2 linked regions of the Oryctolagus cuniculus genome follow. The protein of the gene in region 2 interacts with the protein of the main gene of each other region in a biochemical or structural test. Links are inferred from orthologs where the notes say so. Each region holds a gene or a part of one and is shown on either strand. Other genes may lie near its edges.

Region 1 (15,243 bases), on a different chromosome or scaffold from region 2:
TGCGCGACTACCCCGATTACAAGTACCGGCCTCGGCGCAAGACCAAGAACTCGGGCGTCGGACCTGCCAACGCCAGCCAGGGAAGCGGCGGCCTGCTCTGGGGGCCAGGATACGCGGCCACCCAAGGCAGCAGAGGCTTCGGGTACCAGCCCCCCAACTACCCGACAGCCTATCTGCCTGCCAACTACAGGTGAGTGCCGAGGAAGCAGACGCTTGGGTGGGGCCGGGAGCCTGGGTAGCGGGTGGGTGGAAACTGGCTGAAGGAGAACCTGAGCCCGGCCCAGGGGCCCTGCAAGGTGGGGTGGGTTACAGTGGTTCAGCTTTTCCCAGAGTGGCCGCCCCGCAGGTGCAGAGACGGACCCCTAGCTGTGAAACTCTTCTAGTTGCTGGGATCCTCACTTCGCCCTGCTTCTGGCCCATGTGTGACCCAGCTTCCTCTCCCAGCCCCCGGGGTAAGGCGAGGCCAAGCACATTATGCCCCTTCCTGGCCTGCTGCCCTGAAAGAGGGAAACAGCCACACAGCACGCAAGCCGGGGCTGCAGCGTGTCCCAACAGGGCCGCACTGCTCTCCAAGCCATCTGGCTGTGCTTCCAAGCGCGCCGGGTGGGGGGCAAGTTGTACCCCTGTCCGCCCAGATTTGGTCTGACCCATCCCAGCATTCAGCTGGTGACACCAACACAGAAAGCAGCCTCTAACCCCCCCTCCCCGTTTCCCTTTGCAGCTCTTCCCACTATAAACCAGAGGCGCCCGTGCCATGCTCCGTCCCTCAGAGCGACCCCAGACTCCAGGCGGAGCTGCTTCCCTCCTACAGCCCCTACCTGCCCCCAGGCTCCCCCAATCCATACAACTCTCCACTTGCAGGCGCCCCCATGCCCCTGGCACACCTCTAACTCCCACGGACACGGGCCTCGTGTTCCCCTTTTCCCTCAGAGCCACCCCCACGCACAAGCTGCACCCCCTCTAGTGTTGGACCACAGCTCAGAGGCTGCCTGCAGCCGGCCCGCTCACAACACACAGGATAAAACTCATTTTGTACAACCGAGCCACGTCTGTCTTTATTGCCCCATCTGCGCCCTCCTCACTCCAGCAGGAGCCTGCACCAGCTCCACTCCCTTCCTCTGGACCTGCCGGAGCAGGAGCCACTGCACCCCACCCTGCCTGAGTCATTCTGTCCCCTTCCCCCACACGCAGCACTGGGGTCCAGGGCAGAGGCAGCCCCAAGTCCCTCCCCTCAGCTCGTCCTCTGGAGCCAGCAGGGAAGTGCAGAGGGCGGGGCAGGACACTGGCCCAGAGGAGGGAGAACTGGAAGTCACTGATTTTAATGTCCAAAGATCAGCTTGGAAGATGACCCCATCCTTACTAAGGATCTGGGTCCCCCAATTTCCACGTCCACCGAAACCCTGGCCCAAGGAATGGAGAGATTAGAACTGCAACTCCCACCAGCAGCCTGGCTTGGGCGGGAGCACCCAGAGGCCGGGTGGATGAATGGAAACACGCAAGCACTCGGCGGCTGTTTCGGCCCTACCGCTCCTTCTTCTGCTCTTGGGGAGCCTGTGCATTCCAGTAGAAGAGGACCTGCGCAGCGATGAGGCCATTGCAGAGAGAGGAGACCACAAAGACGCCAGCCATGAGGTAGTCTCCAGTTTCCTGGTTGTAAAAGGCACCTAAGGTCAGGCTGCAGTGCAGCCCCAAAACCAATCCCCTGGAGACAAAGGTTCCAGAGAGGGCACCAGGTGCAGCCCTCAGCTGGGAGACAGCGCCCTCTAGAGGGGGAAAGGTGCACTCACCTGAATGGAAGTGAAGATCCGGGTCAGGGAGCCCCCGAAGAGCAGGAAGACGGTGACCGCCGAGAGCTGGCCTGTGTGCCCATTGCGGTAGTTGGTGGCTGCCTGGAGTAGCTAGGGCAGGAGCGGTCACCTTTGGTTCTGGCATCTCAACTTTTCCCGTGTCCCATCGCTGGTCCCCCCTCAGTCTGATGCTCCTGCACGGGCACTCTGTCCCTTGATGTTGCCCCCCATCCTCTCCGTTGTTCCAGTACCTACCTTCCCCACCACCACAGCGGGCACGTTGGAGGCCTGCAGCAGGGTGACCACAGCTGTGGGCGTCAGCGGCGAGAGCAGCACCAGCAGGATGAGGGCGTAGCCGGCAAGGAAAGCCGTGCCTAGGGGTCAAGGAGACAAGCAGGCCTCGCAACCTCTCCATGTGTCCCACTCCCCCCGGCCCGAGTCCCATCAGGGTTCCCAAGAGCTGCAGCCGCTCCTGGCTAAGTCCCCAGCACCTTTCGCAGTGTGTCCTCTGTAGTGCATGACCAGGAAGCAGATGGTGAGCGTCTGGAGCATCAGAAACAGGGCTTCACCCCAAGAGCTGCAGAGTCAAGAGTTGGGAGGAAAAAAGGCAGGCCTGGAAAGAGGCAGGGCAAGCCTCCAGAGCTGTGCCTCCAGGGCCGCCGCCCTCCACGCCCACCCGAGCCGTCCTCACCTCTAAGAGGGTTAAGCTCTCCTGCGCCTTTGCCTCCCTCCCCGTGACCCCCAGCAGAGTGGGGGCCATGTTCCCTTGGGGCCCTCACCTGAATGGGAAGCTGTTGGTGATGCTGTAGACCACGGTGCCCGTCAGTGCCACGAGGTCCAGCACCACGGACTGGAGGCTCAGGCCTTCGGCACTCTTGGCCCCCAGGAGTTTCAACACCTGGGGGAGCTTCACTGGGTGGGGGAAGACGAGCAGGGCTGAGGACAGCAGCGCCGGGAGCACTGGGGGTGCAGCGCCCGCTTCCCGCCGGGCTGGCCAGCCCAGCCTCTCAGTCCCTCCACCCGCCCAGTGACAGGAGCGGAGGGACGACACCCCACCTACCTAGAAGTGAGCCGGCCACGATGCCCAGCCCCAGCCCCTTGCTGAGGAGAATCTTGAGGCAGGGCACTGAGGAGAGAGAGGTGAGCGGGAGGGTGCGTCACGTGGCAGGGGAGGCCGCTTCTGGCTTGAGCGGATGGGTCCCCACCACCCACGTGGGAGACCTGGCGGAGCCCCTGGTTCCCAGCTTCAGGTTGCCCCAGCCAGGCCCAGCTGATGCAGGCGCCTGGGGAGTGAATGAGATCTTTGTGTCTGTCAGTGAGTGGCCTCTAAACTAGGCCTAACTTCCAAGCTTTCCCTGGTCTCCCTTCACAAAGCTGAGTGAGCCCGAGTGCCCTGGGACCCTTGCTGGTGGCCCCGTGTGCACATCTTCCCTCCAAGGGCAGGTCTCCATGTTGCTCCTTTCTCAACTCTGACTGGCCCAGGTCCCTGGCCCAGACTCAACTCAATGTTTATTTGGCTCACTAGGCTAATCCTCCGCCTTGCGGCGCTGGCACACCGGGTTCTAGTCCCGGCCGGGGCGCTGGATTCTGTCCCGGTTGCCCCTCTTCCAGGCCAGCTCTCTGCTGTGGCCCGGGAGTGCAGTGGAGGATGGCCCAAGTGCTTGGGCCCTGCACCCCATGGGAGACCAGGAGGAAGCACCTGGCTCCCGCCATCGGATCAGCGCGGTGCGCCAGCCGTGGCGGCCATTGGAGGGTGAACCAACAGCAAAGGAAGACCTTTCTCTCTGTCTCTCTCACTGTCCACTCTGCCTGTCAAAAAAAAAAAAAAAAAAAAAAATTTATTTATGGGGCCAGTGCGGCGGTGCAGCGGGTTAGAGCCTACAGTGCCGGCATCCTATATGGGTGCCAGTTGGAGTCCCGGCTGCTCCACTTCCCATCCAGCCCCCTGCTGTGGCCTGGGAAAGCAGCAGAGCACAGCCCAAATCCTTGGGTCCCTGCACCCGCGTGGGAGACCTGGAAGAAGCTCCTGGCTCCTGTGCAGCTCTGGCCGTTGTGGCCATCTGGGGAGTGAACCAGTGGATGAAAGACCTCTCTCTGTAACTCTTTCAAATAAATAAATATTTTATCTGAAAGGCAGTGAAGGAAGGAGGGAGGGAGGGAGAGGAGACCTCCCACCTGCTGGTCCCACTCACCAAACCACCAGGGCTGGACCAGGCTTTAATTAGGTGCCTGAAACTCAATCTGGGTCGCCAACTTGGGTGGCGGGGCCAAGGACTTGAGCCAGCACCTGCTGCCTCCCACGCTGCGCAACAGCAGGAAGCGGGGTTGGAAGCGGGGGCGGGACTTAATCCCAGGCACGGATATGGGATGCGGGCGTCCCAAACCTGCTGCACCTGTGCCTGCCCCTTGGCCTTGGCAACCCACAACTTCTCCAGCCTTGAGGCCTTCCCCTAGAGCTAGGGCGTCAGGCTGACAGGTGCACCCAAGCGTTCCGTGCGCACAGGGGAGGGAAGACCGCGGCGGCATCGCCAAGGGGTGAAAGTCCTGAGGGAACCCTGCTGTGGAGCTGCCTCTTACTCGGGACGGGAGGGGAATTTTACCAAAATTAGATCACGAGCAAACGTGGAGGCCGAATGAGCAATTCGGGCGTCAGTGGCCTTTGGGAAGGCTTTCAACTAAGCTTAGCTCTGCTGGCGACCTTACAGACGTTAGAATGCTTTGGTCCGATTTGTATTGTTTTGTAAATTTGAGCCTTTTGGACTTTCACTGTTGCTAAAGTGCACGTCGGCCGGGCTACTCCCCCCTCCCCTTGCCCAAATATGGGGACCCCTTTTTTCGGAGGCCGAGACACTTCCGCCCTCTCAGAAGCGTCTTCCGCTCCGCGCAGCCTGGCCGCCGCAGCCGCCGCCGTCACCTCGTCTCTAGTCGCCCCACCGTCGTCCACAGTCGCTCGAGCAGGACTTTACTGAATGCTGAATAAAACTCACCATGAAGCAAGTCCCACTGAAGGAAAAGTCGGTCGTAGCATTTCTCAGGTAAAAGAATCGGCACCAGTAGCCGTTTGAGCAGTCCTTCTGCCTCCGACGCCATGTTGGAAAGCGAGCTTCCGCCAGTCTCTCTCAAGCCGTCATTGACTGATGGTGCGCATGCGCGCTCCGAGCACTCCGCCTTCCTTTCTTTTCTCGCGATGACTAAGTTGCACCGCCCCTCGTTCCTCGCCGTTTCTTACGCCACCCTCGCTTCAGGAGCGTGAAATAGGTCACGGCCGGAGACCGCGCTTTGGAGGCGCCCGGCTGTTTGGCTTTTAAAGCGTGTCAGAAGTGCACGCTTGCGCAGTCAGATCTTTCGCGCTTTTGTTTGCGCTCGCACTTCGGAAGCAACATTTAGTCCCCTGCCTTTCTCCGCTCCTCCCGCTAGGCGCCATCTTGTCTCCTCTTTGCCAACTTTACACGCGTATTGTTCCAAGTTGAGAGAGGGTGTTTGAGTCTCCAAAATGGCGTTGGGCGGGGGCGCTGTAGCTCTGTGTCTTCCGTTCTTTTGGCCTCTCTAGAGGGAACCAGGCCTCTGGGAGGTCTCCTTAGGCCCGGGGCTGGCTGCGCTCAAGGCCCCATGCTTCTGCCGCCTGTTTGGCCGAGGCCTTGGAGGATGGGCGCGCCAGAACTGCAGTGGCCCGGTGACGACGCAAGACAACAAGTCGGGGTGGGTAGCCCCGGAGACACTAGGTGGGGTGCAGGGACTGCTCCAGCCCCGCACCACGTGCCGAGTGGGCCCAACAGCACCACCTGGGAACGGCCCCCCGACCCGGCCCGGCCCGCGGTGCGGCCTCGTGCTGCAGCCTTTCAGCTCGTGGGGTTCCTGCAGAAACAGGGGCGCCTGTCCAGGCCCCCAACAGCGGGGCCACGGCGTGCCACGGCCTACTGAAGAGAGAACGACTGGCACTCAGGCGCAGGTGGGAGCCCAGTGGCAGGTGTTTGTTAGCCGGACATCGGCTGCTCTGCAGGTGACACTGTTGCCCGCCTCCCCGTCCCCCTGTACTGGTGGCCCAGACTAGGGACATCCGTTTAGCCAGGAACGTGGAGGGGAAGTGCGTGGAGGTGCCCAGAGCTGCGGCGGATGCAGCCAGCCCGCGGCAGGTGCAGCGCGAGCCTCCCAGGTCTAACAGCGGATTCATGGGGCTCTCCCGCCAGCCCTGGGCGCAGCGGGCAGCCCCTGGTGCTCCGCCTGGAGATGAAACTCCATCACCGCCCTCAGTGCCGTGCCTGGAACTACCTGGGGCTGGTCAGAGGCTGCGGGGGTGGAGGGTGGGGACAGCGGCCTGGACCAGCCAGTGCACCCAGAAGAGGAAGGAGGGGAGGCCTGGCCGATTCAGCATGGACTGTGTCGGGCCTTCAGGGGGCGAGCCAGAGAGCGCAGGGCGTTGGGTCCCAGATGCCGTTTAGCCCTGTGTGGCTCTGTGACTCAGCCGGGGTTGGCACAGACAGGCATGTGACAAGAAACTCATGGCTTTTAATCCTGTCAGCACAGGGGGAACCCAGGACGAAGATCCGAGTTTTCACTGCTCTTCTCCTGGGGGCTGGGGGTGTCGCGTGTAATAAAACTCTCTCCTCCCTCCCGACTGCACAGTCCCCGTGTTTGTTCCTCCCTGCCCTCGAGTCAGTTGCCTGGTGGGGCACAGGGCTGGTGCCCTGGGGGCCGGGCCGGTGTTCAGAGGGCCTGGTAGGCCGACGGGCGTCTCCGGGCGATGCAGAAGGCCACGAGCACCAGAGCGAGGAGGCCGACGAGGATCAGGCCGATGATGAGGGGCACCAAGATGGACGGGTGGTCCGCGGGGCAGGAGAAGCCTGGCAGAAAGACAGGGCGGTCAGCATGGCTCCCGAGGGGGGCAGGGGACTCCAATTCCTAGGAGCTGGGAGAGCATTAAGGAAAAGCACCAAGTGGGCCCGCGAGGGCAGCTGCCCTACAGCCTCGATGAGCAGTGGAGGGAGGAAGCTTGGTCCTAGATAGGACACCTGTACAGGCGTACATGGAGCAGTAAATGCACGGGGCTTCAAATGGATTAAGAAGGGAGGGGACTCTGGGCGCAGCGGGAGATTTTCGGAGACAAGCAGGAGGTAGGTCTTACTCGGCCCGAAGATCCCGGTGCGGGGCAGCTGAGCAGCCTGGACCCTCAGCGAGAGCAGGTCGAGGTGGAGAGCTGGGGAAACAGCGATGCTGGCGTTTCTGCAGCTGAAGCTCTGCCCCAGCGGTGCTTGGAGATCTCGAAGGGACGCATTCTGGGCCGAGAATGTCCACCCTGAAGGGGTGAGGGGTGGGGGGCGGGGGTCAGTGGCTACCCACCGCCCCAGCCCCGGCTCTGCCCCCTCAGTGCTAGGGTGAGAAGGGGGAGGAGCTGCTCACGTGCTGCCTGGGGGAAGGACACGTTGTACTCCACAGCCAGGTAGCTCAGGTAGACCGCGCTCTGGCCCTGCCCTGGGTCCTGCAAGGTGAACAGGAAGGTGTGGCCTCCCATGCCTACCAAGGAAGGGGTGCAGCGAGGGCAAGTGGAGGAGGAAGGCGAGGTCGTGAAGCCATACCTGCTTGAATCCAAAGCTGAGCTGTCCATAGGGGAAGGAGAGGAGCAGGTGGGGACGGGGACCCTCACAGCCCCCCTGGGCCTTGGTTCTGTTGGGGTTCAGCACAGACATGCCCCATGCCTGTGGAAGTTAAATAACGCGGGGGTCATGAGACTACATGACTTTGCTCCTCGAGGTTCCCTGTTTTCTCCATCCCCAGCCTGTTTTTGTCCTCTCTCCTCTTCCTCTTCCCCTTGAATCAAGGCAGGACGGGCTACCTTCCCCTTGTCCGCCCGCCTCCCATTTCAGCTTTACCTGTCCGCCGCCCTGGGTTGGGTACAGAACTCGGATCTGAATCTGGGCTTGGAGTTGGACGCAGGGCTGCGAGCCGTTAGTCCACGTGTAGTTCCCAACCGCTTCTCTGGAGCCTGGGCTAGGACTTGGAGGGGGTGGAGGTGGTCCTGGGTGGGGGGTGCTGGTGGAGAATCCAGGGCTGGTCCCGGTGGTGGTGGTGGTGTTGCTGGTCGTGGGATGAACCGTGACATTTCCGTGGCCAGTGGTAGGAGTGGCAGTTGTAGGTCTGTGGCTGGTGGTGCCTGGGGTGGCAGTGCTGTGACTGGTGGTGTGGGGGTTCTTGGTAGTCCTGTGGCTGGTTGTTCCAGAGCTCGCTGTGCTTTCTGTGGCTGTAGGTGTCACCGTGAAGGATGGCAGCAGAGTGGCTGCCTTCTTGTGAGGCCAAGGCCATGTCCCCTGGGCTTTCAGCAGAGGGAACAAAGAAGCTGGTCAGCGACCCAGAAAGGGCTGGCTTCCTCAAGTTCCCCCTCCGTGCCCCCTTCTTACCCCCTTCTTACCTGCGTGTAGCCCCAGCAAGGCCAGGAAAAGCACAGGCAGCCTCATGGCAGATCCACCTCACCTAATGCCGACTCTCAACTGGACACCAGTTGCTCAGCCCTCTTCCCTCTTCCCTCTCTTGGGAAAGGAAATGAAAGTCTCTTACTTCCTGCAACAGATGATCCCACCCCCAGGCTGACTCAAGCACCACGGGCTCCAGCCACCAATCTCTTAGTCACTAGTCATTTGTTAGGGGACTATTGGCCCCAGCTCACGAGTGGGAGGTGTCAAGGCCAAAGTCAAGGCTGTCCCATGACTACAGAATGATGGAGCCGTGAGGCAGTTGATTGGTGGGGCCCGTTTGTCACCCTTAGCAAACCTCACTAGGCAGTTAGGGCCAGTGGTTCTAACCAGCCCCTATAGCCAGCAGGCCCCTCCTCTGGCCAGCCCCTTTCCACACACCATGCTTCATGACTTCCTCCTAGCGAGACATGTGACCACTTATGACAGCACACACCCAAGCCCTCAGTAGCTCCTATTATCCTATTACAACTTTCTGGACCTAGAAAATGGCTTCTTCTGGTAACTTCTAGGTAGTTAAGGTAGCTGACATACCCAGTAGCAGGTAGGAGGGAAGGAAGAAATGAGAAGCCCAACAGGCAGTTTCCAAGTCATTTTATTCAGAATTTCGTGTTTGCTTCCTGAATCAATAAATACTATACAAAACAATGTAAAAATGGCTACCACTTTCTCTCCCCTGCTCCCCCAGCTGGGTTCAATCACTGGGCAACCTCACTAGGGGCTGCTCCTTGCATGTTTGGTCCGGCACATGAGGTTGAGTGACTTGTTTTTGGCCCCTGAATCAAGTTCGGAGGGATTCAGCTGGGGTGGGAGAGCCTCTGGGACCTGGAGGTGACTAGGTTAGGGAAATGGATTAGTGTTTTTTTTTTTGTTTTTTTGGGAGGAGACGGCGCCTGGGGCAAGAGCCTACCCCAAAGAAAAGGGTTTCTAAAATGGTCACGGTTCCTTCTTTTGCCTCAAAAAGTGACATTTATTCAAAGAAAAAAAAAAAGAAAAAAATGACAAGATGTCCATCCCTTGGCTCCCTCCCCTCCCCCCTCCTGCTGCTCCTCAGCCCCTGAGGACTGAACCCCAGCTGGGGCTAGGTGGCAGGACAGCCCCTCTCAGATGAGGTCAGCAACATTGAGGGGCATCTCCTCAATGGAGGTGTTGTAGAAGGTCTCGATGTCTCGGAGAGTCCGCTTATCTTCTTCTGTCACCATGTTAATAGCCACACCCTTACGGCCAAAGCGTCCACCACGGCCAATTCTGAAACACAAGGATACATTGCAAGCATTGAGGGATGTCCAAAGCTTCCGCCCAGGATGCAGGGGGCTAGGCAGGAGGTCCAGACCCACACTCACCTGTGAATATAGTTTTCCCTGTTGGTGGGAAGGTCATAGTTGATGACTAAAGAAACTTGCTGTACATCAATGCCTCTGGCCTATGTGGAGACAGAGAAGAATTCAGTGCACACAGTCCATCCGGAAGGGGCTCAGTGAGTGCATGTAGGCAGCCCAAGGCAGGCAAAGGAAGCAAGCGGCCCCTTGTCTCTGAGAGCCCTTGGGCATGCCGGATTTTCTTCCAAGTTGCTACTTTCCTGAGAGAGGCACTAGTCGGGCCCCTGGGAGAGGGAATCACCTTGGATTCTTCTGCCTTCCAGCGCTGGAAATCCCCCTACTCACCAGCAGGTCAGTGGTAATCAGTACTCGGCTAGAGCCAGAGCGGAACTCCCTCATGATCACATCTCGCTCCTTTTGGTCCATATCTCCGTGCTAGGGGAGAAAACCGAAGGTTAGCGATCGAGACGAGCACAGGGGAGCTGGGCTCACACAGGCTGGCGTGCGAGGATGCTCACCATGGCAGAGACGGTGAAGTCCCGGGCGTGCATCTTCTCAGTGAGCCAATCGACCTTCCTTCGAGTGTTGATGAAGATGACAGCCTGGGTTATGGTCAGGGTTTCGTACAAGTCACATAGTGTGTCCAGCTTCCACTCCTGGAGGTTGGGGCGAATAGTCAGTCAGGGGCTATACTCAACAGGTCCCCACCCGGGCCCGCCTCCTGCACCCAGGCCCCACCTCGCGTTCCACGTTGATGTAGAACTGGCGGATACCCTCCAGCGTCAGCTCCTCCTTCTTGACAAGAATCCGGATGGGGTCCCTCATGAACTTCTTGGTCACCTCGAGCACATCGGAAGGCATTGTAGCTGACAACAAAACCACCTGGTGAAACACAGACCAGCCTCAGGGTAGGCGATGCTGCAGGACGCCCGCCCCGTCCCCAGTCCCACAGAAGGTGCGAGACGCGAGGGCTCTCCCGGCAGCTCCTCCAGCACTGCCTTTCTCACCTGGGTGTTGCTGTTGAGCTTCTGGAAGATGTCATAGATCTGGTCCTTGAATCCACGGCTTAACATTTCATCAGCTTCGTCCAGTACAAACATCTTGATGTACTTGGGAGCTGTAGGCATGGAAGAAATACTACTATGTAGTAGCTTGGGAAACAGGCAATATATCCAACTTTCTTGAAGAACAGGGGAGACAGAGGCAGTCTGCTCTCAGAATACAGAGATTGATCCTTTGCCCAGGGCTGCCCTGGAGGCCAATCAACAGCCCCAGGAAGTAGAACACTCCCTGGGCTTGGGCTGAGAGGACAGGGAAGCCAGGGCTCAGCTGACACGCATGGGGTTCATCACAGAGCAGCTTTCAGGGGAGGGAGAACGAGCGGCCTTGGGAACGAAGCTGGCCGACAAGGAGGGCTTGGCTAAGGTGAGGGGGATACAGGGCAGTGGAAAATTGAGCTACTCACACAGGTATCTCCGGTTAAGCATGTCGAACACGCGGCCAGGGGTGCCCACGATGATGTGCGGAGCTTCCATCTGCAGCTTCTGCACCTCAGCACGCACATTGGTGCCCCCGATGCAGGCGTGACAGGACGCACCCATGTAATCTCCTAATGCCATGACCACCTTTTGTATCTGAACCAGAGAGAGGTGGGTGTGCAGCTGTTAGCTACAACCGTGGCAGGTCCCATCTCACTTTTCCACGGATTTGGTCTTCCCAACAACCATGATACATGTAACTGAACCCTCAGCTTCTGAAAACTGTGGTCTATTTATTTACCCGCTTCATAGCCAGTTTAAAGAGCCACATGACACACACACGGCCAACTACACCCTTGCCCCCAAACACAAGCCACACGACCCGTTCAGTCTTAACAGGCTTACTATCACTTCTTGGTTACAGTATCTGCGCCCGGTTCCCATCAGAATAATCACTTCTACCATCAGGGTTTGTGCCCTAGGCATGAAACAGCTCTGGCCACCAGTACAGGCATCAAGCTAGGATGAACAAAGGACTGCGCATCTGCTCTGCCCCTGACTGATATAAGAGCAGCACCACGAACGAGGTGTCTCTTTGCCCATTGCCAGGGGTGGGGGGTGTGCATAAACAGTCACCCAACTTGCCTAGCCAGTCAGGCCCGGCCCAGCAGTGTTGTCATTTGACTCAGGAAATGGGTGGAGAAGTGGCAGCTGTTACGTTTGGGTAGGAAATGACATATAATTAACCCAGCTAAAAATCACCGCCCCATCCCACCCCACCCCACCCCACCCCACCCCACCCCCCGAGCATCCTCTTCCTCCTTGGAAGTAACCCCCCGGGATTTTAGGCTATGCTCATTATTCCTCCAGGAGAAAGAAGCCACGTTCTCACCTGTTGGGCCAATTCCCGAGTGGGTGCTAGTACCAAGGCCTGGGTGGCCTTCAGATCCAATTCAATCTGCTGGAGAATCGATATGGCGAATGTGGCCGTCTTCCCAGTCCCAGATTGGGCTTGAGCGATCACATCATAACCTAGACAGACAAGAAATGAGATCTGGCGGAGAACTTGCACTTTGGGCTCATGGGACAGTCAAATCCTGACTTACGCCTAACTCAATGAGCTGAGATCAACAAGCAACCAATCATGAATGACGCCTTAAGTGCCTTACAAACCTTCCCCACCACAGTATGGTGACATAACGGGGGCAAATCCAGAGAACGATCAGGCTACCAACTCTAGCATTGCACTAAGCCAGAAAACAGGGCTGTGAGAACTGTGTACAACAGTACCTCATTAAAGGCAAGCCAGCAGTCCGTGTGTCCCAGGCATGACCCAGGCATGGGCACAGACCAAAAGCCAAGCTGGGATAAACAAGGGTTTGCTTTGTCCCTGGCTGATAGATGGGCACCACTAACCCAAAGCCATTCTACCCCAGTCAGGGACAGTGCCAGATCCGTTCTGGGGCCAAAAGGTCTCACCCTTGATACAAGGAAGAATGGCACGCTGCTGGATGGCAGAGGGCTTCTCAAAACCATAGGCATAGATGCCACGAAGGAGGGATTCAGAGAGGTTCATGTCGTCAAAGCTGTCAACGATCTCATTCCAGTTACTCTGTAGGAGGCAAGGAAACAGAAGCTTTATCAGTGAGTACAGGCTGTGCTTCAGCAAACACCAACTGGTGCCTGGGCCAGCGCTTTGGAGCCCACAACCCTGACACCTTGGAGGGAGGCCGCTGGTTCCAGGTAGGCTGGGAAGTCACTCTAAGGGGCCAGTCCACTTTAGCTGTGAGGTTGGAGGGGCATGAATGGCACGTTTCACACCTAGCCTCAGGAATACTAATCGATTCACTACAAACCATGGTCAAGACTCCTTTGGGGCAGAGCTGTACTATCGGGGTTACACTATGTCCTCGGGATTCGCACTGAATTCTGGTGACCCAAGACCCAAGTCTCTTCTACTCCAGGAACCAGGGGACAGAGAGAGCGGCCTCTCAGAGGTGGAGGGCAGTGGTGGCAGGTTCCAGTCTCACCTCGATGACACCTTCGGGCTCCATTCCATCGGGGCCATTGTCTCTGGATCTGTTGATTCAAAGAATGGATTTTGTGCCCTGCCTGCCTGAACCACGCCAGACATCCTGACAGTCAGGCTCTATCAGCAGCCGGCCAAGCATGATGCCATCAGCACTCAGCCCCAATCTAACTCCCACCAGTGGTCAAGACACTCTCAAGTTACTTTAAAACTGAGTCAGGGCCTCTGCCCCGTCCTGTGAGCGGATCAGGGCAGGCCCCCCCCTCCCACACGGTAGGGGAAACCTCCCTCGAAGCATAAAGGCTCATGGGGCCGGATGCGGTGCTTGCCGCCGGCCCACGTGTCCCAAGGCCCCGCGGCTCAAAGCCGAAGCGCGTGCACCGCCCCTCGCGGCACCAGCGCGCCGGAAGTCCCGCCCTTCACCTCCCACATCGGAGGGCAGGCCATCCCCTTCCCCCCCACGTCATTCCGCCCGCGCCCTCCCCTTCTCCCTCCAGCCGAGCCCCCCCTCGCGGTGCCCGGATGTGGGAGGCCGCGGGCGGTGGCGGCCTCGCGCACAATGAGCCCCAGCCGAGCTAGCACAGGGGGAGATTGCACAACACTTAGAAGCGAAGCGGACTGGGGGAGGGGAACACCTCAGGCCGCCATGTGCTTGCTCCCTCGACCACCCGGCGGCGTCTCCCCCCTCCATGGAACAATCCACATCCCGCCCGCCCCCGTCGCGAAATGGCGTCGCCCTCCCATACCTCAGGCCGCTCACCCCCGAAGGAAAGTGGACCTGCCCATCCGCAGTTTGCCAAATGCCCGGCTTGTGCGGCAAAATGGACCCGCCCGCCCGGCGCCGGGTGGGCTCCTGGTGCCTCACGCGGCCGCTCCTCGGGGTTAGGCTCAGTCCTGGCCGTCAAGAAAACCAGCACACTGAACGGCCGGCTTCTTCTTCCCCGACCCGTATTTCAACCCGACGAAGCGACTGGACCTGAGGACCCAGGCACCCCCGCCTCTCGCGAGTGGTACCGCCAGAATCCTCCCGAACCCCAACGCGCGGGCCCTCCCCCCGGCACAGGGGGGCAACCGGACCGCCGGCTATGGCCACGTAGTGGCGGCCGCCGCGGCCCTTCTTCCTCGCTGGGTCGCGACCTCGCCTTGTCACTCAGCGCTGGGGCTTCACGTACGCCACTGCCTCGGGTCGAGGCCTCGTAACGAAGCTCGCACTCCGGGCCCTACGCGGGCTGTTCTCGCCCTCTGCCTCGGCTCTGGCGGCAGCTCGGCCGCTCATCTGCCCCCGGCCCGCCTCCCCCCACCGCCGGACGTTTCCTCCCGGCTCGGTTTCCCCCGCAACCCTGGTGGCGCTCTCAGCCCCTCCCCGACGGGGCCCTCGGAAGGGAGCGGCAGGGTGAGTAGCCACAACCTCTTGCAAATGCCTTTCTTACCGGGAATCCTGACTCGCAGACATGATCCTTAGAAACTAGGGCGGAGGGCCCGCCTATCGACAACTTATAGAGCGCCCGACCCCGCCCCAGCCATCGCATTGGCTTGGCCGCCTCAGCCCCGCCTGGCGGCGCTCGGCAACTCGGCGTGACGTTAGCTCGTAGGCGCTCTGGCTCGCAGCCGCCATTGGATAGCTTGAACGCCTATCAAGGCGAGGGCCCGCCCCGCGGCCTCATTGGCTAGGGGGCCCGCCTTTCTCGCCGGTACGGAAGTGACATACAGCAGTCAGGCCTCGAGGCCTGGCAGCCATCTTGGGCCCTGCACCCTTACACGTGCAGAGGCGATAGCGCCTTAGTCATGTGGCTTCATAGACCCTATCACGCAAGGGGGGCGAGGTCTTAGCCTCCAGGGACTTCCGGGCTCCCGAGACTACCACTTCCCTTTCCTTCTGCTCCAGGTTTCCACTGGACCCAAATTTTAGTTGTGTTCTGCCCTGCAGCAAAGACAGGTTAGACACCGCCCGGCCTGTGTTCTGTGCGCCAGGGATGATGGAATAAAGAGCGACACATCCTGGGGCGGGGAGGACTCCTAGGGCTGGAGGGATGAACCTACTTCTGGGCACTTGGGGCAGCTGTCCTGAATCCAGACCCAAACCCTCCCCAGGCCCTTTCAGTGCCTTGCGCCTCAGGTTCTCGCAGGATCTTTTGTCTTTGAGCGTTCCCTGTGCTCCCGCTTTCT
Region 2 (15,411 bases):
TTTCTCAATCCTTTCCAATCCAGAGCCCTCCCCCGACCCCACCAAATAGTTTCTGCTGTGGTGGTCACCCCGATTTTAGATCCCAGAGCCCCTTAATTTTCAGTCATGTCCCTATGAACTTTAGGCGCATCTGGGACTTCCACTTTGTTCACAGGGCTCAGCCTTCCTCTGATCTCTACCTGTGTGTGCACCACCTCCACAGGATCCTATCCCCAGGCCTCACCACTTCCTCAGACAACCCCATTCCTTCCTCCTAGGCCTTGCACACCTAAACCTCTAAGAGCAACTCAGAGCTGCCCCCTGCCCTGCCCTCTTCCTCTTCCCAGATGGACCGACACCCAGCTACTGACATCTTGGCTCTTCTCACACAGCGAGCGCTGACAACTTGTTCCAGTGTTCCCGATCCCAGCACCACACCATTGTCTCACCTGCTGAAGCCATCCTGAGAGTCCTTCATGACTCCCAGTCTCTCACGGCCCCCTCCCCAGGCTGGTGTGACCAAGAGCTGCTAACCTCACTTCCAGAGTTATTTAACTCTGCCCACCGCTCCTCCCTCACCTCTACTGTCACCAGCCAGGCTGAGCCACCAGTGCCAGTCCTGCCACATTCACTTATACCACCCCAAACCCTTCTTCTCACTGTGGCAGGATGATCAAGATAGCAGTCCTACACAACACGGGCCCTGTCTCTCTCCAGCCCCATCCTGCGTTTGCTTAAAAGCTCCCTCCCTACTTCCCACTGGTCACTTGGCCAATTTCCTAGTCACCACTCCTGAGACTAGTGTGCTTGCAGACAGCACCCCCACCTCATCACTCCCCGTCAGCACGAGACCTGCAGCTGGCCTAGTCGCTGTGAGCACCCCAATGCCCTGATAACACACAGCTATTACTCAAGTGCATAACCTCACCCATGTAACCAAGATTCAGCCTCTCAATACAGAAAACAGGGGTAACACCATCTACCCTAAACAACCATGGTGACAACTAAATGAGGCAGGCAAGCTGAGCCTCCGGCCCTGTGCCAGACAGCCATGGCACATGGCAGCCCCTGACAGATGCTATCATGTTCTCACCTTTACTGCTGCTATCTAACAGATACTAAGCACAAAGCAGTCAGTCCATTAACCTTCAAGGCTAAGTCCAACTTCCTCCATTTGTAGACAGAGAAATAAAGTTAGGGAGAAGGCACCAAACCATCAGGGCACTATCAGCCTTTCGCGGACTGAGACCCTTCCCTGACTACTCTCTGCTCTCCAGTGGTCCCTCCAGCCCACCCCCATCCCCGAGGCCTGGCTCTTACTGGCGGGCTGTTCTAAGGTCACTACAAGGGCCTGGAGGGCATAGAGTGCTTGCAGCTCCTTCTGCTCATCACACAGGTATTTCTGTAGCAGTTTCGCTCGCGCTTTCAGCACTGCGACATCCACGCGGAGGGGAGTCTCAACTGCAGGAAAGAAGACAGGGGCAAGTGAAATAATAGTTCATAAGCTGTTTCAGACCTAGGAGGCAAAGGCTGAACCCCTCACCCTGCTCCCACCACCTCCCTGGCTCCTCTTACAGATAATTGCCGAATAGCAGACAGCCGTCATGAGGGCTCGAACTAATGTGTTGGATGCTATCTGCTGCTCACTCAGGTTGGCCTGCACAAGAGACACATGGTCCACAGGTTGAAAATCAGGCCCAAGGTCCACTCCTGCACCCCCAAACTTCACTCTAAGAAAACCCTCCCGCTCATCCCCCCACCTCACACCTCTATCCAGTCGAACACTCGCTGGTTACTGCTGCCCTCCTTCAGCAGCTTCTCCAGCTGCCTGCTCAGCTCCTCAGAGGACAGTGCCCTCTGGCCAGGGGCTTCGGACTCCTCTCCCAGGGTATACTCCACCTTCTGCAATCAAAAAGACCCAGTCAACAGGTCCCCTGTGCCACCTGAGAGATGAAGGCAGAGGGAGAAGACTGGCCAGGCCCAGAAGCTAAAATTAACCTAACTCCAGCCCCAAACCTGTTCAGTGATGAATGCACCGACATCCTGGCCTTCAGGCAGAAATTCTTTCCAGCTGAGCCCAGCCTCACGCCACAATATGCCCACTTTTTTGGGGCCCTGGAAAAATACAAGACCAGTTCAGCCACCCCGTCTCTCCAAGGACCAAACAGCTCCACAACAATCATCCAGCAGGTACTCACTGAAAGCCCACTAGGTACCTGCTGGAAGCTAAGGACGGCAGAGGTACCCCATAGACACAACCCTTCCACGCCCTGAAGTCCAGTGCAGGGCAGACATCAGATACCCACACAGATAAACAGGAACTCGTCTACCACAGTACTGCCAGTAGGATGAGGGAAAGGCCCTCAAAACCGTGAACAAGCAAATGCAAATACCCTCCTCCCTCCTAGTCTTCCAACGTCACCAGAAAGTCTCAAAAGCAGATACACCCTCACCCCCACAACACAAACCAGAAATTCCCACAAAAACAGTAATGCAGGGCTGGCCCTGTGGCACTCGTGGGTTAAGCCGTGCTTGCAATGACAGCATCCCATCCCAGAGCACTGGTTCAAGTCCTGGCCACTCAGCTTCCCTTCCAGTTCCCTACAAATGAGGCTAGAAAAGCAGTGAATGATGGTCCAAGTACCTGGGACTCTGCCAGCCACGTGAGAAACCAGGATGGAGGTACGGGCTCCCGGCTTTAGCCTGGCTATTGTGGCTTTTTGGGGAGTGAACCAGCAGATGAAGAGATCCTTCCCTTCCTCCTTCCTTCCCTCCCTCTCTCTCCATGTGCGCGCACGTGTGTGTGTAACTCTTTAAAATAAATAAGTAAATCTTAAATAGCAGCCTGAGCCCATTTTCTTTAAGGAGCAAGAGACCCCACAGGTATCACTTTTTTTTTTTTTTTTTTTGACAGGCAGAGTGGACAGTGAGAGAGAGAGACAGAGAGAAAGGTCTTCCTTTTGCCGTTGGTTCACCCTCCAATGGGCGCTGCGGCCGGCGCACCGCGCTGATCCAATGGCAGGAGCCAGGTGCTTCTCCTGGTCTCCCATGGGGTGCAGGGCCCAAGCACCTGGGCCATCCTCCACTGCACTCCCTGGCCACAGCAGAGGGCTGGCCTGGAAGAGGGGCAACTGGGACAGAATCCGGCGCCCCGACCGGGACTAGAACCCGGTGCGCCGGCGCCGCTAGGCGGAGGATTAGCCTAGTGAGCCGCAGCGCCGGCCGGTATCACTTTTATAACAAAAAATACGCAGAGTGATGATATTAGCTGTTAATTTCATGGGGCCGACGCTGTGGCACAGTAGGTTAATCCTCCGCCTGTTGCGGCAGCATCCCATATGGGCGCCCATTCTAGTCCCAGCTGCTTCTCTTCCAATCTAGCTCTTTTCTGTGGCCTGGTAAAGCAGTATAAGATAGCCCAAGTGCTTGGGCCCCTGCACCCACATGGGAGACCGGGAAGAAGCACCTGGCTCCTGGTTTCGGATTGGCGCAGCTCCGGACGTATTGGCCATTTGGGGAGTGAACCAACAAAAGGAAAACCTTTCTCTCTGTCTCTCCCTCTCACTGTCTCTAACTCTACCTCCAAAATAATTAAGTAAAATATTTAAAACAAAATTTCATGATTCTATTTTAAATGATTTCTTCATATTTTAAACACTGTAAGTAAGACACATCACAGCTGATACACTACTACATTTTAAAAATAAGACCATGAGTCTTTTTTCTTAGCAATGCATCAGTAAGAAATCTTCCAATCCACAGCACCTTAGATCAATGACATATGCTTCTTGACTTACAATGGGGCTACGTTTCAAAACAAAGCAACCAACCTGGGGTCAGCGCTGTGGCGTAGCAGGTAAAGCCACTGCCTGCAGTGCCTCCCATATGGGTGCCGGTTTGAGTCCCGGCTGCTCCACTTCCAATCCAGCTCTCTGCTATGGCCTGAGAAAGCAGCAGAAGATGGCCCAAGTACTTGGAACCCTGCACCTGCGTAGGAGACCCAGAGGAAGCTCCTGGCTTCAGATCGTCCCAGCTCCGGCCACTGTGGCCATCTGGGGAGTGAACCATTGGATGGAAGACCTCTTTCTCTCTCCCTGCCTCTTGTAACTCTGCCTTTCAAATAAGTACATTCTAAAAAAAAAAAAAAAAAAAAAAAGAACATTCTAAGTCAAAAATACCCTAAACTGAAAATGCACTCGATACCTTGAAAAACCTATCACAAAGCTGAAAAATCCTAAATTGAAACCCTCATAAATTAAGGACCGTAGGTACAGAAAGAGTATAATATGCTTATTTTATGAACAGAAACTGTCCTGGTACGTATGTTTACCTACCTAAAAGGACCATCTGACACTGAGAGAATAAGTCCTTTTAACCCAGTCTCTTTCCTGCAGGTACCAGAGAGGTATATTGTTTTGAAACTGCATGTTCCAGTTTCTCACAACCACACCCAAACAGCCTTTCCCCATCTTGCCACCTTTACACTCACCAATCAACTTTCATAAAGCAACTTCAGTGCCCTTCAAAGAAAGCCTTCTTGCATGAACACTGCAAATGCTGGTGAGCAACCTCACAGTACTTGAGACATTCCGTTTCAACTTACTTCACACTGGTGTTTTAAAACAAAATTTACTTGAAAAATAGAGAATGCTCCCATCCACTGGTTCACTCCCCAAATGCCCCTAACAGCTGGAGCCAGATAGAGGCCAATCAAGAGCTGGGACCACAACCCATGTTTCCCAAGTGGATGGCATAAACCGAATTAACTGAGCCATCACCAGTACCACTTGGGGTCTGCATTAGCAACAAACTGGAACCGGGAGAGCTGGGAATCAAGTCCAGACACTCAGGATGGGACATAAGCATTTTTAACCACTAGGCCAAATGGCTACCCCACTCCTAGGCTACCATTTCTTATTTTCTTTACCAACTTGTTTCCTAGCCCCTGCTGTATCCCAATGTTAAGTACATGGTAAATATTCAAAGAAATGCTAACTGAGTGCGTGAGAACAATCAATGAGTCGGTCGCAGGCCTATGTTCTACACTGCCACTCTTTCTCCAGCTTTGGCCAGAACTCATGGCAGCAAGTGTCTGAGGTCACTGCCCACCCAACATTTCCTCTTTCAGCTATGAGCATGGTCCTGCTGTCACCATTACTCCATCCCAAAGGAACATGGATGCTTCAGGACCACCACAAGCAGCCAAACCACATCTGAGGCGTTCTGAACACAGCCTCCGAAAGGCCTCACTCACCATGCTTTTGCACAGGAGTCGCAGGATCTCCAGCAACAGGGAAGCAGCTTTGCCCAAAGGTCTCAAATGCTTTGTAATCTCCCTAGGAAAAGAGAAAAGCCCAACGTTGCCAGCTTCCACATCCAGACATCCCCAGCTGTTCCATCACCCAACCCCTTTCTACCAGTTTCTACCTCCCCCCAATTCCAAGAGGGGGCTTACCTGAACAGCTCCCCCATGGGCACACCACCTTCCTGCATAATGGGTGTTACTAGTTCCGCTAGGTAGAGCCACACATGGGGTATGTCAATTTCCATGTCCTCAGCCAATTCTAGGATCTCATACAGCCTGCAAAGGTAATTCCAAGTCATCATTCCAGGGAGACAAGCCAGGAAAAATATAGCAAGAACCAAATGCAGAGCCCCAAGAACACTTTTTAGACAGGGGCAACTACCTCAAGCTAAGACCACCTTCTTGTCTTAGATGGCTCATTGCCCCTTACCACTCCTAAATTACTGTTCACCAAGATGCTGGGGAGCTTCCACTCCGATACAGGGTTCGTCGGATCCCACATAGGAGACAGGAAATTTGTAGGTATGTGAATGGAGGAGGGCCATGGAAATCAGCCATACCCTTGGTAGTACTGAGCAGTGGAGAGGTGGCCAGCACAGAGTAGCTGGTGCAGCAGCTGCCCCATACGCTCACGAGCAATGGCACTGCGCTCCAGTGTGGACTCAATGCCATGTCGCACAAAGATGAAGAGTAGAGAGGGTGAGGCCAGTTCCTGGACACACTGCACCGCCTCCTGAGGAGCACAGGGCATGGGAGAGAACAAGGTCACGGTCTGGTCAGTAGGCGGCACCTCCATGCCTAACGTGGCTACCCGCTCAATCGGCAACCCCTCAGACCTCTCCCCACCCCGTACTGCCTACCTTCATGTCGTTGAGATGGAGGTATTCCTCAATGATGGCCTTGGATTTCTTCTCCAGCTCCTCTTCAGAGAGTGCAGCCTTCGGCGAGCTCACAGGGGGCAGGGCGGCTTCCCGCTTTGCTGTAGCAAGAAAACACAGATCAAAGATACTCTTCACTTTCAGGCTCTCTAACACACAGTCTGGAGCTCTCAAGAGATTTGCAGGCCAGGTTGTCCCAAACCAGCCAACAGCCTCCCCCACCACTCCTCTCCCGGCCTCTCACCCGCATCCCGCCCTCGGTCCCGATCCTCTGTGAGGCTAGCTGCCTTGCGCAGTCCCTCGGGCTGGGAGGGCCGTTCTCGACTCCGTTCCTCCACTTCCTTGCTGAAGCTCCGCTTGGTGGCCGGTGTCCGTGCGCGGTCCAGCCGGTCCCCTCGGTCACCTCCCCGTTCACTCCGCTCTAGGCGGTCTCCTCGGTCCCCAGCTTTCTCACCTCGTTCCCGACTCAAGCTACTCCTGGAAGAAAGACAGGCAAGCCATTCCTCACGCGTATTGCCCAGGCATTCGCTGACAACATGCATTCGTGGCATCAGGAATATGCCTCAATCTCAGCCAGGGGACCCAGGTACTGCAAGTAGAAGTTCCCATCCTACAGCAACAAGTGAAACCCAGCTGCCACACTCTGTGTGAAGATGACACGTACGAAATCTCACCTCTGTACCACTCGTCTGTTATCCGTGCTTTCTGTGGGTACTGCTTGTTGAAGGGCTGAAAAGCGATTCAAGGTACTGGTAGCTGGACGAGAAACTTCCGATGCTAGGGAGACCGAAAACCCTAATTAAGCTCTCTTCCCGTTTCTTCCTTTATCTCCCCTACTTGTCATTTAGGACACGTGGTCCCAGGGCCAGGATAAAGGAGCCATCTTTGGAACCACATACATCATCTTCTGGATGATCCTGAAACTCTAGGCAAGGCTCTGCCTTCAAGGGAGCACAGACTGCAACCACCCAGTTCCACACGGCGGCCTCCATACCTGCGTCTGAGGGCTTGGCTCCTGAGCCTCCGCTGCTGCCTTTGCCCCAGCTCAGGCGCCCTCCAGGTGCAAAGAGCTGGTTGTTAGAATCGATAGAGCCAGGCTGAGGAAAGAAAGGGAGCAGAGAGCCATGGGTCTGGCCTGGCCAAAGCCTCTGATCAGCACTACCACACACGGTCACACAGGTAGTAAATGGCCCAGACCAGTGATTAGGCAAACCTTTTCTGTGAAAAGGCCAGCCAGTAAAGATTTAGGCTTCCAAGTCTCTACTGCAACCACCCAATTCTGCCACTGTAGCATGCTTGTAGCTACAGATGACACTTAAAGGAATGAATGCAACTACATTCCAATACACTGTCTACAGACAGTAAAATTTTAAGATTTACGTTACTTTCACATTATCACGCCATCTTCTGATTTTCCTCCACCATTTAAAACATAAAAACCATTCTCAGCTCACGGGATGCACAGAAGCAGGCAATAAGCTAGATCTGGCATGCTTGTCACTTTGCTGGCGCCTGGCCAGACCAATGGGAATACATCTCCCAGAGCTCACAGTCCTGGCTCCAGCATTCTAACCAGTTATTTTAAAAGGAAGACTACATTGTCACCTTCCTAACTTTAAAAAAGGGGACCAAGAGCCGGCGCCGTGGCTCAATAGGCTAATCCTCCACCTTGCGGCGCCGGCACACCGGGTTCTAGTCCCGGTCGGGGCACCGGATTCTGTCCCGGTTGCCCCTCTTCCAGGCCAGCTCTCTGCTATGGCCAGGGAGTGCAGTGGAGGATGGCCCAGGTGCTTGGGCCCTGCACCCCATGGGAGACCAGGAAAAGCACCTGGATCCTGGCTCCTGCCATCGATCAGCACGGTGCGCCGGCTGCAGCGGCGGCCATTGGAGGGTGAACCAACGGCAAAAGGAAGACCTTTCTCTCTCTGTCTCTCTCTCACTGTCCACTCTGCCTGTCAAAAAAAAAAAAAAAAAAAAAAGGGGACCAAGATCCAAACCCAAGCTGAACACCTGCTCAATCCCTCTTCATACTCTGGCTCACTTGCATCACCCATCCAGCACACATCCCTACCTTCGTGATCTTGGTGAGTCGTGAGGTGTCAATGGGACGGCTGCCTTTGCTGATGGGGACTGTATTCCAGCCACCATCGTCCACAAGTGGAAGGCCACGGCCTGGGACAAAGAGGGGCATACTGGAATCACAAGTAAATTCCAACAGCCCCACCCCCTCAGGAATCCCCAACTTCTCTTCCTCAGATCCTCAGTTCCATCATGAGGACTCAGTGGCCCAGACACGTGGCACTATCAGAAAGTCATCAACGGAAAGCACGATTTGGTTCCTTCACTGCCCCCTCCTCAACCCCAGCCTCAAACTCACTGATGGGTGGGCCGGGAGGGCCACCCCGACGCTTGTCACTGCCCTTGGCCATGAGCTGCTGCACTTTGATGTGTTCCCTATGCTCCTCCATTTCAGCCTCCTTGTGGATCTGGTCAATGGTCTTGGGACCCTGATCCCCTCGCCGTGGCACCCAATTGCTCTGCAGGGACAGGAAGCCAGTCGCAATCATCGGGGGGAGGGAGGTGAAGGGGCCAGACAAGGCAGCGTCGGGAAGTGGAGGAGGGGACACACACCTGTCGGAGATCTAGTACGTCCTGCAGCATAAAGCGGATTCGGGATGAAGTCTTCTTTTCTTTAATGATTTTTTCCATCTGGTTGAAATACTGATCCATTCGGGGCTAGGAAGAAGCAAAAGCAATCAGCTCAGGAACTTTCAGCATCTCACATCTAGTTACCAGCCCTCAGCAGCCCAGACTCACCAGCCAAACAAGGCAACAGTGGGCTTCAGCCCCACCCTGCCCACAGCCCAGAATCCTTACCTTGGCTTTTTCAAAATCCAGGTCTTTGCCAATGGTAGTGAGCAGACGGCATAGGCATTCCAGAGACTCTTCATCATGGTTCTTAAGTAGTTTGACCACACAGTCGTGCATTATTGCCTCTGTTAACATCTTCAGCTTGAACAACTCGCCAATAAACTTGATATTTCCTAAGGAGCGCCGCCGGGCTATGTCCCGAGCCTCTTCCAGCTCTTCCTTCAGGCGTCCCCGCTCCTCTGCCTGTCAGTCATGGGACAGGGATCGCGTCAAAGATGCCCAGTTACTCAACTAAAACTTTTCTCCTCTGCTATCTCAATATCCATCTAGCAGTAAGCATGATGTCCTGAGGCAGAGAAACTCCCAACACACCACTGTCCCCACCTGACTTAGCCTCATCACAGTTCTACAGCCGAGGAGCAGCTGGGGGAAGGGAAGGCAGTGAGTGGGCTACAAACTTCAGGTGGGCTTTTTCTTACCGTAGCAGCTTCATCCATCTCCTTTTGCTTTTTTTCAAAAACCTCATCATCATCCTTGTCCTTCTCAAATTCCTTCTGACACCGATTCAACAACAGTTTCCGGAAGTTCACAGTCACTGTTGGCTTTTCTGTAGTGGGCACTTTCAGCTGTATGTCAAAGAGAACGTCACACTCAGACTAGCCCAGGGCAAGGAGATTCCCCCAAGAAGACCTCTGACCTCAGCTTTGCCGCCCCCACCCCCAAGCTGCCATCCAAAGCACAGGCTGGAGAACCAAAAAGCTGGGAAGCTGGACCATGAAACTGAGAAAACTGGTAACTAACCGCCATGAGGCAGCGGCACATGTTGGCATAGGCCACTGAGAAGTTGGGTTCTGAAATGGCCTTCTCAAAGATGAGGTCAATGACCCCTTTGAGGCGCTCCTCGGTGTCGATGGCCAGCTGCGTCACCTGCTTCATCAGCTGCTGGAACATCTGGGGTGTCAGCTTATTCAAGATGGAGCGCACCCTGCGGAACAGGTCCTGGCGGGGAGAGGGGACAAACACAAAGGGTCCAGAGAGGTCCTCAGAATAGGGGTAGGGTAGCTGAGAGGAAGAGGCGGGCAGGGACTTTGGCAGATGCTAGTGATAAGTTCAGACAGCCACAGAGGTCAAAGTCAGCTCAGACGGTACTCTGTGGAGCAGGAATGGAGACCAGACGCAGGACTTGCCAGTACCTGGGTTTTGCTGCCATCAGCATCCTCTTCCCCTCGATCCTTATCAGCCGCCGTCCGCTTGCTGCTGGGTTTCCAGGCCTTCTCTGCTTTGTTCAGTTTTATATCTTCAGTCATTATCACTGAGGCAATGATCTTGCGGGGCTCCTTTCGGGGGCCTGGCTGAGAGCGCCGGGGACCCAGGCCAGCCTGCTAAGCAAGGGAGGAAGACAAGGGAAAAACACACAACTGCTCAGCACATGTGACACCAACGCTGACGTGTCCCCATCCTGCCCCCTTGCCCACCTGTGTCTTCAGCCAGCCCCCACTCACCGGCCCTCGGGGCAGCTCCCCACCTGGCCCACCCCTTGGGGGCCCGCGGCTGCTCAGGGCTGGTCGGCCAAGGTTGGCAAAAGATGGGGTGAAGTCTGGGCCGCAATTTATGCCTGATAGTCTGGAGGGATCCAGCGGCCGTAGTGGCGTCTTATTGGCCTGTGAAGAGAAGACGGAAGGCCTCACGAGCTGGCTAAGGCTTCTGATTACTTCTGAGGATCTCAGGCGCCTCCCCACTCCATCCAACCCACACTTGCCCTCCTCCCCCTCAACGCACCAACCTTGTCCAACACCACATCACTGATATGGGGCAACCCCTCCGGCTTCTGCATACTGGCAAAGATGAACTGAAAGCCAAGCAGGAACTCACGGTCGTAACGCTTTTTCTCCTCAAGGTTTAGAGGCCTCCACTGATCTGCAAGAAGAGAGGATGAACCACTGATATGCTTGTCTCCTGATGCGCTGGTAAGCACCTGCAGCCCTTTTCAACCCTCCCCCTCCAGCCTACCTGACTTGTACTCATACTTCTGTTCCCCAGGCTGGATGTTCTCAGCATTGTGAATTTTGTCTTCCTTTGCGTCCCAGGTCTCATCTGCTTCCTCAGGCCGGGAGGGCCCACTGCTGCCCTCTGACTCTGGTGTTGGATTGTTGCCTGCAGGAGGCTGATTCTCCACCTCTGGCACTGCCGGGTTCACCTGGAACAAGGGCACAGCCCAGTTTGGATCACAGAATGACCAGTTTCATACCCAGACTGTGCTCGCTCTCCGACCTTCTGCTTCCTTACCTCTTTGAAAGCATCTAGAAGGTCTCCCACAGCCTCCTTTTTGTTGAGCTCCTTAATTTTCCGTCTCCTCTTTGGCACAGATACTGCCACTAATTGAAAAAAAGAAAAGGAGGGGTGGGAATGATTTTTAAGGAATACTGTTAACCCCAGGGTAAAATAAAAAGCAGCCCAGTACATGATTTCCTCCTTCCATCACTATGTCCAGGCTTTACAAAGTCCTTCCTGGAGCTCTTAGGTTCCATCATAGGCGTCTATGACCAGACACAATGGCACACAAGGCAGATGATCAGCCAAGAGGAGCAACCACGCCCCCAGGCCAGCCCCGCCTCCACCATCCACTTTACCTTGGGTGGCTGCTACTGCCTCCACATTCTGGGGTAAGTGGGCAGGGACAGGGGTGCTCTCTGTGGGATGTAGGTCCTCTCCTCCCTTCTCACTCTCAGCTTCTCCTGCTTCTCCCTCTTCCTCTTCTTCCTCTTCCTCCCCTTCTTCCTCCTGAGCAGGGGAAGTAGCTGGGGGAGCTGTAGCTGGAGTGGCAGAGGGAACGGCAGGGGGAGTCGCAGACGCTGTATCCTCCTTGGCCTGGTCCTCGGGCTCACAGACTGGGCTTAAGTCCACAGCTGGTGGCGAGGGGGCTCCATTGAGCAGTTCTTCGGGTTGGGTGGTTGGAGCAATAGGCACAGGGGATTCAGAGGGGCAAGCTGGAGGAGGGGGAGGAGCAAGCTCTGGGCTTGACTCCACCTCTGGTTCCAGATCCTCAGATGGGACCACGCCATTAGGCTCATGAATTTCCATCTTGTGAGATGCCAGTGGGGTGAGAACCTGGATAGGACTGGAAGAGAACTCAGACACTGGAACTGGTTTGCTGAGTGTCACTTCAACTTCCAGTATGGGTTCAGCAAGAGGAGTGGGCTCTGGAGAGAGGCAATATGGCTCTCCAGCTTCACGGGAGATGGGGGCTGGTTCTTCCACGGGCATCTGTATCATCCCCGATGTCATAGTGTCCCCAGGAAGAGAGAGGACCGCAAGATTAGGCTCAGACCCCGGTTCCAAGATCGGGGGTGGTGATGGAGTCGGAGAAGGTGATGAAGGCTGGGATTCTGAAGGGCTGTGCTCTGGGCCAGGCAGCCCTGGCCGGCCCCCGATGATTGCTCCTTGTGACCGGTCATCTACACCACAGGAAGGAAAAATTAGTAACCAAAGGTAAATCCTTCAGTGCTACTACTATTCCTCCTCTCAGCCAAAGTATTCCTCACTTAACACCCTTATCCCAATCTTCCCCCACCCACGCTACTTTCCCATTCTCATCTAAAACACAACTGACCCTGACAATCCCACTGCCTGGAAACCTAAGTCACCATCTAGCACCCAGCTCGAGTCACCCCCACCACCTCGGCACTCTAAACTGTCACATTCCATTTCCCCAGGAAAGCTCCGCCTCACCCTGCCTACTTACCTGGCCGGACGATGACAGCAACCTGGGGCGTCTCCCCGTTAGCCTGAGGCTCCACACCACCTCCAGTCTGCAGGACACAAAGGGTTACCAAATTTGCACTGAAGACTTCCACAACCCTTCTCTACTAGAACAATTTCTACTCTAGCTCTGCCAAGAAGGCCAGGAGAGCAGGCAATCAACCCCTTAGTTGAGGAAAAGATGAAGGGACTTAGGAGTGCAGGGAAGCACAGCCATTCCAGCCAAGGTATTACTCAAAGAGCAGACAATACCTGGGGAGGGGTGGGTGTGGAGGCAGTGCGGGCCCCTGACATAATCTCCTCCGTGATATCCTTCCCTCCTTGGTTTGGATCTCGAATTCGGATCTGAGGAAAGAAAGCTATGGGATGAGTGGGAAGCAGGAGGAGCCCCCTCTCCACCCTGCCCCACTCCTAAGACTCTGGGTCAACCCTCCACCCCCCACTGGAAGCAGGTGGGTGGGTGCCAGAAACCCCATGAGTTCTACTGTCAACCCATCTAGCTGCTCTTGTAGTCCCTGCCCTAGCCCCCACCCCCAAGAGACCTTTGACCTCACAGAGCAGCCTGTACATCACAATGCCCCTCCCTCTCTCACCCCTGCCCCACCGGCAATCCCCAAGTTAGTGCCTGCACACCCTGGGCCCCAGGACCCCCATCAAGCACCCATCCAAGCTCACTTGTAGCTAGTCTGCCTGATCTCTGGGGGCAGGCCCAGATCCAGTGGGTGGAGCCAGGGTGACTCAGCGGCTTCCCCAGCCCTGGCACCCTATTCTGGGCACCACGCCCAGGGCTGAGGACTGAGCAGAGGCGGAGGCCTCAAGAGCTTCCAGGACTGGGAGTGGGGGGTGGGGCCACAGAAAACAAACCACTTCCAAGGCAAGCCACCAGAATATCCAGCACCCCAGGACCACCAGGAACTGCACCCTCGGCCATGTCGGTCTCCCTAGGAGATGCTTCTAAGCCAAAAGCTGGTGCGTTGCAAAAAAGAGGCCCCAAGTGTTCCACAGAAACCACTCCCCACCCTACCCAAGTCTGCCTATTCCCGGCCAAAGACCTCCTTCCTCAACCTCCTGCTCCCTCAAGCACAATGCCCCAGTAGTGCCTGAGCTTCACTCGCCCCTTCCCAGACCCTCCCCAGAGCCCTCCCCTGCCACTCACCGTTTTTCGCTCCCTCTTGGGAGCAATCTGGGGTGGCTGGTTCATCAAAACCGGCGCAGGGGCCACACCAGCGGGAAACTGCTGCACACCTTGGGCTGGGTAGTAGGCACCAGCTTGGGGGAGGGGACAGAAAGAAGAATGGTGGCAGCGTCAGGACCCAACCATATACTAATGCTTGAACACCTCCCACCCCCAGAACCTCTCATCACTCACAGCCAGCCCACTGCCCTGCCCCGCCCTCCTCCCCCAGGGAATTAGGTGTCTGTCAAAGCTGGGGAACCAGTCTACACTGCGTTTACAAGAATTCCTGACACTGACACACACACGCCTTGTAAGAAGGCACTCCTTCCCCACCACATGCTTGCTAGCAGGAGGGCGCAGGTCTGTTCTACTCTCCAAGATACTCCTGTGCATACACCCCCCCCCCCCCAAAGCAACACACATACCACTCTGAATCTGAAAGAAACTCAGTCTCTGGCTAGGAATGAGAAAAAGATGTGCTAAGCCTGTTCCACTCAACCTTAGTCTCCTTCCAGTATCCAGCCCTTTGCAGAGGGGCAAGGAAACAAAAAGTAACATTATGAACTAAGCCCAAGAGAAAGAAAAAGTAATTCCTTAAAGCAATGGTCTCCAAAGTGGGAGCATTCTTTAACCTCATACATGATTTACACTTGATTTCCCAAGTGTCATGTTATATGTTTAACTTATGCACACATATATACAAACACACACATATATACATTTTAAAAGTACACAGTCAATGATCAAAGTTTTGGAAACCACTGCCATAAAGAACAGACTAGTACTTTCCTAGAATACAAACGAAAACTAGCCACAAATCCATGTCACATGCCCCCCACCTCCCCACCACCATAGAAACAGCGTCGCGGGAAAGCCCACCAGGCCCTCAAGCTGGAGCCTGGGCTTGCGTTCCTGACACAGGCAGGACTCCAACTCCCTTGGCAACAGAAATCAAGTCTTTATCCCCCACCAACACCAGTTAAACATTAAGCACCAATCCCTACTAACTATTAACCCTATTATTTTTAACCCCAAAGCCATGCCTGAGAAGGGTCTTAGGCTTTAGAAATCAGTAGATCACTTTTGAAGTTCCCTGGGAAGCACTCTCACCTCTGACTCCCTCTCTTGCTTACCATAGGTCCCAAACTCTGTAGGGCTTGCACCCGTATAGAAGCCTGGGGCTCCTGGCTGCACAGGGTACTGCTGTGTCGGGACAACATATGTGGAACGCCCCTGGTGGGGGAGGGGGGGAGAAGAGGGAAGAGAAGGAGTTGAGGAAGCTACGAGTACCATACCAGACTACAAACAGAATGCAGGGCAAGATAGGACAAGCCAACTCTGGGCAATGACCAGAAGTCCCATCTCTGACGAAGAGACAGGGCAAGAGGGTTGGGGCAGGAAGGGGCGAGGGTTACAGCACAAGGTGCATGGCTCCCAAGCCT

The links.
Region 1: the proteins of EIF4G1 (region 2) and EIF4A1 form a complex in vitro, tested with the Homo sapiens proteins (3 studies listed by IntAct, with this or other methods). The link is inferred for Oryctolagus cuniculus from reciprocal best matches to the Homo sapiens genes EIF4G1 and EIF4A1.

Annotation. Positions count from the first base shown.
Region 1 is NC_091448.1:52,140,456-52,155,698, reverse strand, and holds EIF4A1 (eukaryotic initiation factor 4A-I), read right to left. Parts: upstream 14,661-15,243; 5' UTR 14,531-14,660; coding exon 14,508-14,530; intron 13,972-14,507; exon of another isoform or gene 13,824-13,971; intron 13,128-13,823; coding exon 13,079-13,127; intron 12,661-13,078; coding exon 12,528-12,660; intron 12,494-12,527; exon of another isoform or gene 12,362-12,493; intron 12,081-12,361; coding exon 11,941-12,080; intron 11,663-11,940; exon of another isoform or gene 11,518-11,662; intron 11,205-11,517; coding exon 11,036-11,204; intron 10,928-11,035; exon of another isoform or gene 10,781-10,927; intron 10,688-10,780; coding exon 10,578-10,687; intron 10,453-10,577; coding exon 10,309-10,452; intron 10,227-10,308; coding exon 10,089-10,226; intron 10,006-10,088; coding exon 9,916-10,005; intron 9,879-9,915; exon of another isoform or gene 9,735-9,878; intron 9,675-9,734; coding exon 9,595-9,674; intron 9,500-9,594; coding exon 9,355-9,499; 3' UTR 8,829-9,354; downstream 1-8,828. Other genes in the region: SOX15 (transcription factor SOX-15), read left to right, coding at 1-190, 722-890; MPDU1 (mannose-P-dolichol utilization defect 1 protein), read right to left, coding at 1,422-1,664, 1,788-1,898, 2,043-2,161, 2,279-2,364, 2,567-2,699, 2,848-2,913, 4,775-4,877; CD68 (macrosialin), read right to left, coding at 6,492-6,628, 6,910-7,080, 7,185-7,263, 7,361-7,480, 7,655-8,094, 8,191-8,236. UniProt on the Homo sapiens protein: ATP-dependent RNA helicase which is a subunit of the eIF4F complex involved in cap recognition and is required for mRNA binding to ribosome.
Region 2 is NC_091435.1:93,893,393-93,908,803, reverse strand, and holds part of EIF4G1 (eukaryotic translation initiation factor 4 gamma 1), read right to left. Parts: intron 15,203-15,411; coding exon 15,103-15,202; intron 14,062-15,102; coding exon 13,949-14,061; intron 13,138-13,948; coding exon 13,045-13,137; intron 12,843-13,044; coding exon 12,776-12,842; intron 12,489-12,775; coding exon 11,664-12,488; intron 11,409-11,663; coding exon 11,320-11,408; intron 11,231-11,319; coding exon 11,044-11,230; intron 10,951-11,043; coding exon 10,817-10,950; intron 10,695-10,816; coding exon 10,536-10,694; intron 10,416-10,535; coding exon of another isoform or gene 10,413-10,415; coding exon 10,227-10,412; intron 10,033-10,226; coding exon 9,835-10,032; intron 9,660-9,834; coding exon 9,513-9,659; intron 9,277-9,512; coding exon 9,040-9,276; intron 8,899-9,039; coding exon 8,794-8,898; intron 8,700-8,793; coding exon 8,540-8,699; intron 8,487-8,539; exon of another isoform or gene 8,411-8,486; intron 8,335-8,410; coding exon 8,234-8,334; intron 7,260-8,233; coding exon 7,157-7,259; intron 6,940-7,156; coding exon 6,837-6,939; intron 6,640-6,836; and 18 more.